Macaca mulatta: one gene and its partner. The protein of the gene in region 1 purifies or fractionates together with the protein of each later gene. This does not show direct contact. Links are inferred from orthologs where the notes say so. Each region holds a gene or a part of one and is shown on either strand. Other genes may lie near its edges.

Region 1 (4,099 bases):
ATTAAAATTCTCCATGCATTCATTCTATTTGCACCCATTTCTTTCAAAAAAGTCCATATGAAATTAAAATCAGTTCCTCTGCTTGGCATCTCGTTTACACTACACCGAAATTAAACCCCACTAGGAGATCACGTAGATTACGGGGCCAAGGGCCCGCCCGCTGACTAGGTTTTTACTCGCGTCTGCATGCCCCAGGTCCCCTCCGATTGTAGTCCTGGGGCAGGACCAAGCAAAAAGTCCCGTAAAGCTGGCGTGTGCCCCACTCCGCCAGGAAGCCCCGCCGACGTCCTGTGTTTAAATGTTCTGACACACCCCAAACGCAGTTGTTTTTAAAGGCTGTCTGTGGGACCTATGCGTTGGCAGGCAGATGCCGTCCCGCATCCCTTCCCCCTAAATGACATAGAAGATTCCAGCGCAGGGGAAGGGCCACGAAACCCGCAGGGCACACGACGCCGGGGGCCGGAGGAAGCACCGCCTACCTCCCCGATCAGCCCCGCGGTGCCGGACGAGCCCGAGGGCCCGGCAGGAGGCGGGCGGCAGCCCCAGGCGAGCTCGGAGGCGGCGGGAACGCCTTGCCGCGCATGCCGGGAGACGCCCGCCGCCTGCCGCCTGCCGCCCGCTGCCCGCCGGGACGCGCAGTCCTGCAGGCCTCGCTCCGGGTCGTCCGAAAAAAAGGAACCGCCTGCTGCTCCTTTGCAGGGGCGCGAGGAGCCGCACTCGGACCGCCGGATGGGTAAAAAGCCGGTGTGGCCGGGCGGAGCTGCCCCTCCCCGCGGGGAGGGCGGCCGGAAGGACCGAGCCGCCTCCCCTGCCGGGTCCCATTCAGACGCGGGGCGCAGAGACTGGCTCCCCAGGCTTCCCCTTTAAGGGGGGCGGGGCGAGGCCTGCCGTTTGGCCGCCCCCGACACCCTCCCCCCCTAGCCCGGAGCCGGCAGACCAATCGCCCGGGCGGCAAAGCGAAGGCGGGAGAATGCGAACCCTCCGGTAGGCGGTAGGGGCGGGCCCCGGCCTTATTGGGATCGAGCGCTGCGCAGGCGCAGAGGCGGCCGCGGGCGGAGGGGCGGGGGCAGGCCAGCGGGAGGCTCCCCGTCAGGCACGGAGGGTGACTGGGGACAGGCAGGCGGCGACGGGCTTGTCATGGGGATCCGGGCTGCGAGACGGCACTGGTAGCATCTGGGGACTCCGAGGGGGACAGGAAGTGTCAGCGTCCGGGACCCCGGCGCCGGCCCCGCCGAGGGGATCCCCACTGCTCCGGTCCTGGAGCGGGAGGGGAGAAAGGAGGGAGCCCCAGTTTCGCCCCGCCCCTGGGCTGGTGCTGCGGGGGCGGGGAGTGAGGGCTGCTCTGGGGGGAGTGGAGATCGGGGAGCGCGGCCGTGCCCTCTCGAGCGGCTGCGGGGTCCCCGCGGCGCCGGGCTGCTGAGCTGAGGGACCGCGGCGGCCGCGGCCGGTGCATGTGCGGCTGCTGGATGCGGAGGCGGCGGCGACGGCGCGCATCGGCAGGATGTTAGGGCAGCAGCAGCAGCAACTGTACTCGTCGGCCGCGCTCCTGACCGGGGAGCGGAGCCGGCTGCTCACCTGCTACGTGCAGGACTACCTTGAGTGCGTGGAGTCGCTGCCCCACGACATGCAGAGGAACGTGTCTGTGCTGCGAGAGCTGGACAACAAATATCAAGGTAGGGGCCGCGGGGCTGCCGGCCTCGGGAGCCGGTGGCAGGGAGCCTGCCGGGGCAGTGCCACCTTCCCTTTCTCCCGTGACAGTCTCCCCGAGCCCACCGAGGGTCTGCCGAGCGGGACGGGGAGGACTGGAGACTGGGTTCGCGGCCCTCCTTGCCCCGCGGTGGGCGAGTACTTCTCTGGGGTCCCCGGAGTGGGGGTGGGGGCTGTTCGTCAGCCCCCGCTGCAGACCCAGCGGCTGCAGCTGCCGCGGAGGGGAATCAGCCATTTTAAGCAGCAAGCATTTGTTCAGGCGCTCGCCTGCCCCGTGCCGCAGACCCTGCCGCCCCGGCCCAGGACTGCAGCCGGGCAAGGGCCAGAGGGAGTGAGCGGCCGGGCTCCCGCTGGTCTGCGGGGCGCACTTCCCCACCTCACTCGCCCCCACCCCGGAGTGCGGGTGCTTTGGAACGTGCGGGAGGGAGGGGGCGAGAGGCCGCGGAGGCAGATTGAGGGGGCCTTCCTCCGCGCTCCTACCCCGGCCGGGAGGAGAGCAGTCCGTTCCGCTCTCTGCCCCGGGAAAGTTCTCGGCCGCCCCGAGCCGCAGCCCTAGCCCAGCTCTTTCGGCAAAATGGTTAAGAGGGGAGGGGTCCCCCGCGAGAGAGGAAGAGAGGGGCGTGTGTGGCGGGGAGGGCCCCCGCGCCGGGGGCGGGGCCTGCGGGTGTGACGTGGGAGTGGGCGGGGCGCGGCGCGCGTTCCCGCGGGCCTGGAAAATGGCTGGTTGCGAGAGGGGCGGCGGCGAGCCGGCTGCTGGGGAGGGAGTCGAGGCTGTGCGAGGGCGTTGGTTCGGCCCCAGCGGAGTCCGAGTCGGGGTTTGCAGCATGTTTTGCGGTGATGTTTCCAATCTCTTTCCCAACCAATGGATCAGGACGGAGATTAGCAGCTCAGAGGGTCTCGGACCCTGGCTCCGCGTAGGTTCCGGGACATGTGTCACTTCCGGGCTTCAGGAGGAAGTGGGTTGGTTGACTGGGCAACCGCCTGGCGTCCCCAAGCCCCTCCTTCTCCGACTTTTAAGTGTTAAGGCGAAACCACCCTTTACGGGCCGACCCGGGAAGCCGGGACAGAATCCGACCTTCCTTACAGTGTTATCACCTACTATCGGTGGTGCTACTAGGAGGGCAGTTTAAAAGGGGAAATGTGTTGCGCTTAATAACCTTGAATCGAGGAACAGACCTTGAACATAGTATGGAAACAGCCATATGAACTTTAAAGATAATTTCCTGGACCCATTCTCTGTTTTTGTAAACACGTCAGTAATCCTGTAGTTTAAAAGTCTCTAAAGGAATCCACTTCTTGGGTGACATAAGTGTCTCTGATTTTTTTTAGTTGATAAATTTGTGTTTTCTGAATCCATGGGATTCATAGGACTGATCCGCGTTTGGGGGAGGGGTGGGGGGGAGGGATTTCAAACTGATGCGCTGAGTCCAGACCATTATATAAATATTTCTTTTACAGATTAGAAAGAGTTTAAGTAACTCGTCCAGTTAATTAGATGTAGAATATTTGGCTCCAGCTCCTGCAACTTTAGATGCATATCCTTGTTTTCAAACAATTTAAATTTTAATAAAAACTGTCCAAGGGGATTTCTGCAGATATGGAGCACAAACATGAATGGTAACCTAAAAATGATACGTGCTTAATAATTGTATATTGAACCTTTCTAGTTTTTCAAATAACACTAAAGTTTGTAAAGTTTGCAGTTGCTGTTGTTGTTGTTGCTTCAGACAGAGTCTTGCTGTGTCCCCTAGGCTGGAGTACAGTGGCTGGATCTTGGCTCACTACAACCTCTGCCTCCCGGGTTCAAACGATTCTCCTGCCTCAGCCTCCCGAGTAGCTGGGATTACAGGCACCTGCCATCACGCCCCTCTAAGTTTTGTATTTTTAGTAGATACGGAGTTTCACTATGTTGGCCAGGCTGGTCTTGAACTCCTGACCTCAGGTGATCCGCCCGCCTCTGCCCCACAAAGTGCTGGGATTACAGGCGTGAGCCACCGCACCCAGCAAGCTTGCAGGTTTTTACATTTCTTTGAAGACACGTTTCCTTTCACAAGAGTTAAGCTATTTGAAGTTGGTAAGGGATACTATAATTTGTTGACAGGGAAATCTGCTTTCGGATCATCTATAATTGTGATGTATTAATAGCTCTGGTAAGATTAGTAATATAGTAGGCCTTACAGGACTAAGAGATTATAAAAATTCTTAGCTCCATGAAGATTGTGATCAATGATTAAAAACTCATCCAGTTTTCACTCTTTGCGCATGGTTACTGAGCTCAACTTTCAGTTTTATGTTTATATATATTTTGTGTTTTGGGTTCAGATTTCATGTTTTTTATTTCTTCACTAGTGCTTAAGTCTTTTCTGGTTTTGGATCTAATATTTCTAGCAAT
Region 2 (4,044 bases), about 10 Mb from region 1:
GACACTTCAAGCTACCAACCAGACCAGGACTTAATAAAGCACAGCTTGTTGAGGTATATATGATTTTTAAACTATTTGAACTATGCACAACCGAGAGGCTGTTAAATGCTAATGAAAGTATTAATGTAGTATATGTAACAGTACATTTAACAGTACATTTTATTTAGAAAGAACAATGTTAAAAAATCTATTGTGGAAGAATCTAGTTGTCTAGAAATGTTTGTCAGCCACTTAGGAAATTCCTTTTTGTAATGACTACTCAGCAGGTTGTGTACAGCACCTTCTGATACTGGCTTTCAAAATGTGTTGTTTGTTTTTTGAGACAAAGTCTCGCTCTGTCACCCAGGCTGGAGTGCAGTGGCACGATCTCGGCTCATGGCAACCTCTACCTCCCAGGTTCAAGCAATTCTCCAGCCTCAGCCTCCCAAGCAGCTGGGACTTCAGGTGTGCACCACCACACCAGGCTGATTTTTGTGTAATATCTTTAGTAGAGATGGGGTTTCACCATGTTGGCCAGACTTGTCTCAAATTCCTGACTTCAAGTGATCCGCCCACCTCAGCCTACCAGAGTGCTGGGATCAGCAGTGTGAGCCACCGTGCCTGGCCCTCAAAATGTTGAATGAGAGTTTTTTTTAATCCTCACTTTAGAAATCTATTAGTTTTAAAACTCCATTTAACCAGTAAATGTTTGAGCATCTAATTGAGGCATAATAAATTTAATTAGCAAGCTTTAATGTCCTTATTAAAATTTATATTTTAAAGTGGTGGAGTAGGCCTACAAATCAGCCCCTAAACAGTATTTTTATAATTTGCTGACTTAACTATTTCAAAATTGGTCCTTGTTGATGTTAGTTTTATTAGAGACATCTATGTTTTCTTCACATCTAGAAGAGGCAAAAGCTTTTCTTTTACCCAATCTTTTACTTGTAGTTTGCTTTGACAGAGGACTTCTAGTTAGTCAGTGAGTTGTGAAAGTTAATGGAGTATGCATATGTTCTCAGGATATAATAGAACCAAGAAGTCTGTGCATCTTATTAAGATGCTTATAGATTGATATATTTATATTTTAATCATATTTAAAATTTTTGCTTGCAGCTACTCAGGAGGATTGATTAATCCTAGGAGTTTGAGTCACCATGGGCAACATAGCAACACTCCATCTCTAAAAAAGAAAATTTAGCCTACTAGACAAAATAGAAGTGTAGATATATAAATCGGTTTTCTCATATTCTTTGCATGGATTTAGTAGTTACCCAACATTTTCTAAAATGTACAACATTTCATTGAATAAAATGAAATATGAATAGAAGTTACATTTATCTGATGGAACGCTTTTTAACATTGTTAAAATCTAATACATTAACTATTTAGCTAAAATTTCTTATCCTTGGTTAGGCAACACGGATCTAATTAATTTTTCTTTAATTTTGATTTAAAAGATCAAGTTCTTTTGGGGTTGTACAATACATTATGTAACGTAAATATAGATCTTGCCCACCATGATGAAATATTTCAGTAGGTACTAATGGAGTGAAGGCACCCCTGTTTTGGAACAAATGAGAACCAAAGAACTAATTATTTTAAATGTTACATTTAGGTATAAATTAAACCTGAAATTTTTGATAAACTGACCTTCTAAGAACAGTTATATTATTTCTAGAGCTATTTTCTTTTTTATACATAAGAGATAGCCATGAGTGTTATATTTTACTTAATCAGAAATGCAGTTATTAACAGGTTAAGGAATGTGGAAATGTGCAGATGTAGTACATATATTTTAAGACAGGGGTCCCCAACCCCGGGGCCATGGACTGGTACTGGTTGATGGCCTGTTAGGAACAGGTCCACAGAGCAGGAGGTGAGCACCAGCTAGCAAGAATTACTGCCTGAGCTCCGCCTCCTGTCAGATCAGCCGTAGCATTAGATTCTCACAGGAGTCCAAAACCACGTGTGAAGTGCACATGTGAGGGATCTAGGTTGTACGCTTGTTATAAGAATCTAATGCCTGATGATCTGAGGTGGAACAATTTCATACCAAAACCAACTCCCCCACCCCCAATCTGTGCAAAAATTGCCTTCCGTGAAATCGATCTCTGGTGCCAAAAAGGTTGGGGACCACTGTTTTAAGGGATTCCAGGGTTGTATGACTAAGTCTTAAGTCTCGTAATTGTTGTGTGGATGAACTTTTTTCTTAAGAAATTCTATTTTCTGGAATCTAAATATGCTTGTCAGCACCTCAGGTAAGTCTATTAATCTTCTATTCGTAATTGTAGTATGCATATTACATTAGCACAATGAAAAGGCAAGGAAGCAGGTAAACATCCTTCATTGAACATCCCTCTTTCTCCTCTCATTTCCATTCACAATTTTTATTCAGAAAAATTTTCAAGGAACCTTAACCAAAGAATGCTACCAAGATACGAATGAATGAATGTAATTTGCAGCAAATAATTTATATGTTATTGTTGATTACTACCAAAAGTTTTCAACTTCATACTTCTTTTTCTATCAGTAGGGTCTAAACCATTGCAGGTTTAATGATGCATGTGGTCTCTTACATCTGTTTTATCTCATTTAAAGTTTAAAAGTAAAAACATGTATTCCCTACTCTAGATTCCAATTATAAAATTTATTATTTTTATCTTATTTATCTTTTTTGAGACAGAGTCTTGCTCTGTCACCCAGGCTGGAGTCCAGTGGCGTGATCTCAGCTCACTGCAACCTCCACCTTCTGGGTTCAAGCAATCCTCCCATCTCAGCCTTCTGAATAGCTAGGATTACAGGTGTACACCACCACGCCTACTTAATTTTTGTATTTTTTTTTGGTAGAGATGGGGTTTTGTCATGTTGCGCAGGCTGGTCTTGAACTCCTGGGCTCAAGTGATCCCCCTACCTCCGCCTCCCAAAGTGCTGGGATTACAGGTGTGAGCCACCACTCCTGGCCCAATTATAAAATTTAAAATAAATAAAAGGAAAATGTATTTTCTAATCAATGTATAGTAAATTGAGTGAGCCAAAAGGTCCTTTGAAATCACATTATCTCTTGTTCATAACATTTTATTCTTAAATGCTTTTTGTCCTGTTGGTATTTTCTTAAATATAATTTTTAAAGGAAATAGCTCTTATCACATAGATTTTTTCTTTGGATGAAACCGTATTTTTTACCTAGTTTATGAAACCTGTTATATCTAAAATTTAATTTCCTTAATTTTTTTTTTTTTCTTTATAGATAGTTGGTTGCCACTTTAGGTCTATTCCAGTGAATGAAAAAGACACCTTAACATATTTCATCTACTCAGTGAAGAATGACAAGAACAAATCAGATGTCAAGGTTGATAGTGGTGTTCACTAGGAGACGTGGAATTGAGACTAATAACTTGGATGATAACACTGTTTACTGTTTTTTCACATGTAGAAATGTTCTTTGTGTATTTTTTCTACAGAGGATTTTCTCTGATTTTATTTTCTTTGTTTCTGACTCTAATAATTAGTTGGAAACTCATGTAAAATGAGCTTTCCTAAATTAAAAACTATTTTAAATAAAGGTTATTACTATTATAGTTGCTTCAGTGTATTTATTTTGTGAAACTTGATTTTTCTTTTAAACTGACTTAGAGATCAGTATTGATATTTTAATGTAAAGTCCTTCATTTTATAACCCCCTTTTTTTTTTTTTTGTAAACTTCCAAGAAATTAACAGGGTAAGGAGAAGTAACAAATGTAGCACATTTGCATTCTCTGGGACAATCTGACTTGGAATTGAAGATATTTTAAATAGCATTATTTTTTTTAAGTGCTTTATAATGCTAGCAAATTTGAAAAATAAGCTTCTATTGGAATACAACTTCTTTTTTATTTCCTTTTTTTTTTTGTTATTATTACTTGATGAAGTACTAGGAAGAACAAATGGTTTAATTTATATACCCACCTCGTTCCAAAGACAACTTAATGTGCCAGTGAAGATAAACACAATGCTGAAAGTCGAAATAAGAACATGAAATGAAATAGCTGTTTTTGAAAATTTTGTCTTTGGGAAAAGATATT

The links. The genes of interacting proteins can lie anywhere in the genome.
Region 2: the proteins of ING2 (region 1) and SAP30 purify together in Homo sapiens (affinity purification with mass spectrometry; 3 studies listed by BioGRID and IntAct, counting the BioPlex papers as one, with this or other methods). This does not show direct contact. The link is inferred for Macaca mulatta from reciprocal best matches to the Homo sapiens genes ING2 and SAP30.

The regions. Positions count from the first base shown.
Region 1 is NC_133410.1:191,950,009-191,954,107, forward strand, and holds the start of ING2 (inhibitor of growth protein 2), read left to right. Parts: upstream 1-1,299; 5' UTR 1,300-1,501; coding exon 1,502-1,673; intron 1,674-4,099. UniProt on the Homo sapiens protein: Seems to be involved in p53/TP53 activation and p53/TP53-dependent apoptotic pathways, probably by enhancing acetylation of p53/TP53. Component of a mSin3A-like corepressor complex, which is probably involved in deacetylation of nucleosomal histones.
Region 2 is NC_133410.1:181,805,840-181,809,883, forward strand, and holds the end of SAP30 (histone deacetylase complex subunit SAP30), read left to right. Parts: coding exon 1-53; intron 54-3,229; coding exon 3,230-3,352; 3' UTR 3,353-3,544; downstream 3,545-4,044. UniProt on the Homo sapiens protein: Involved in the functional recruitment of the Sin3-histone deacetylase complex (HDAC) to a specific subset of N-CoR corepressor complexes. Capable of transcription repression by N-CoR.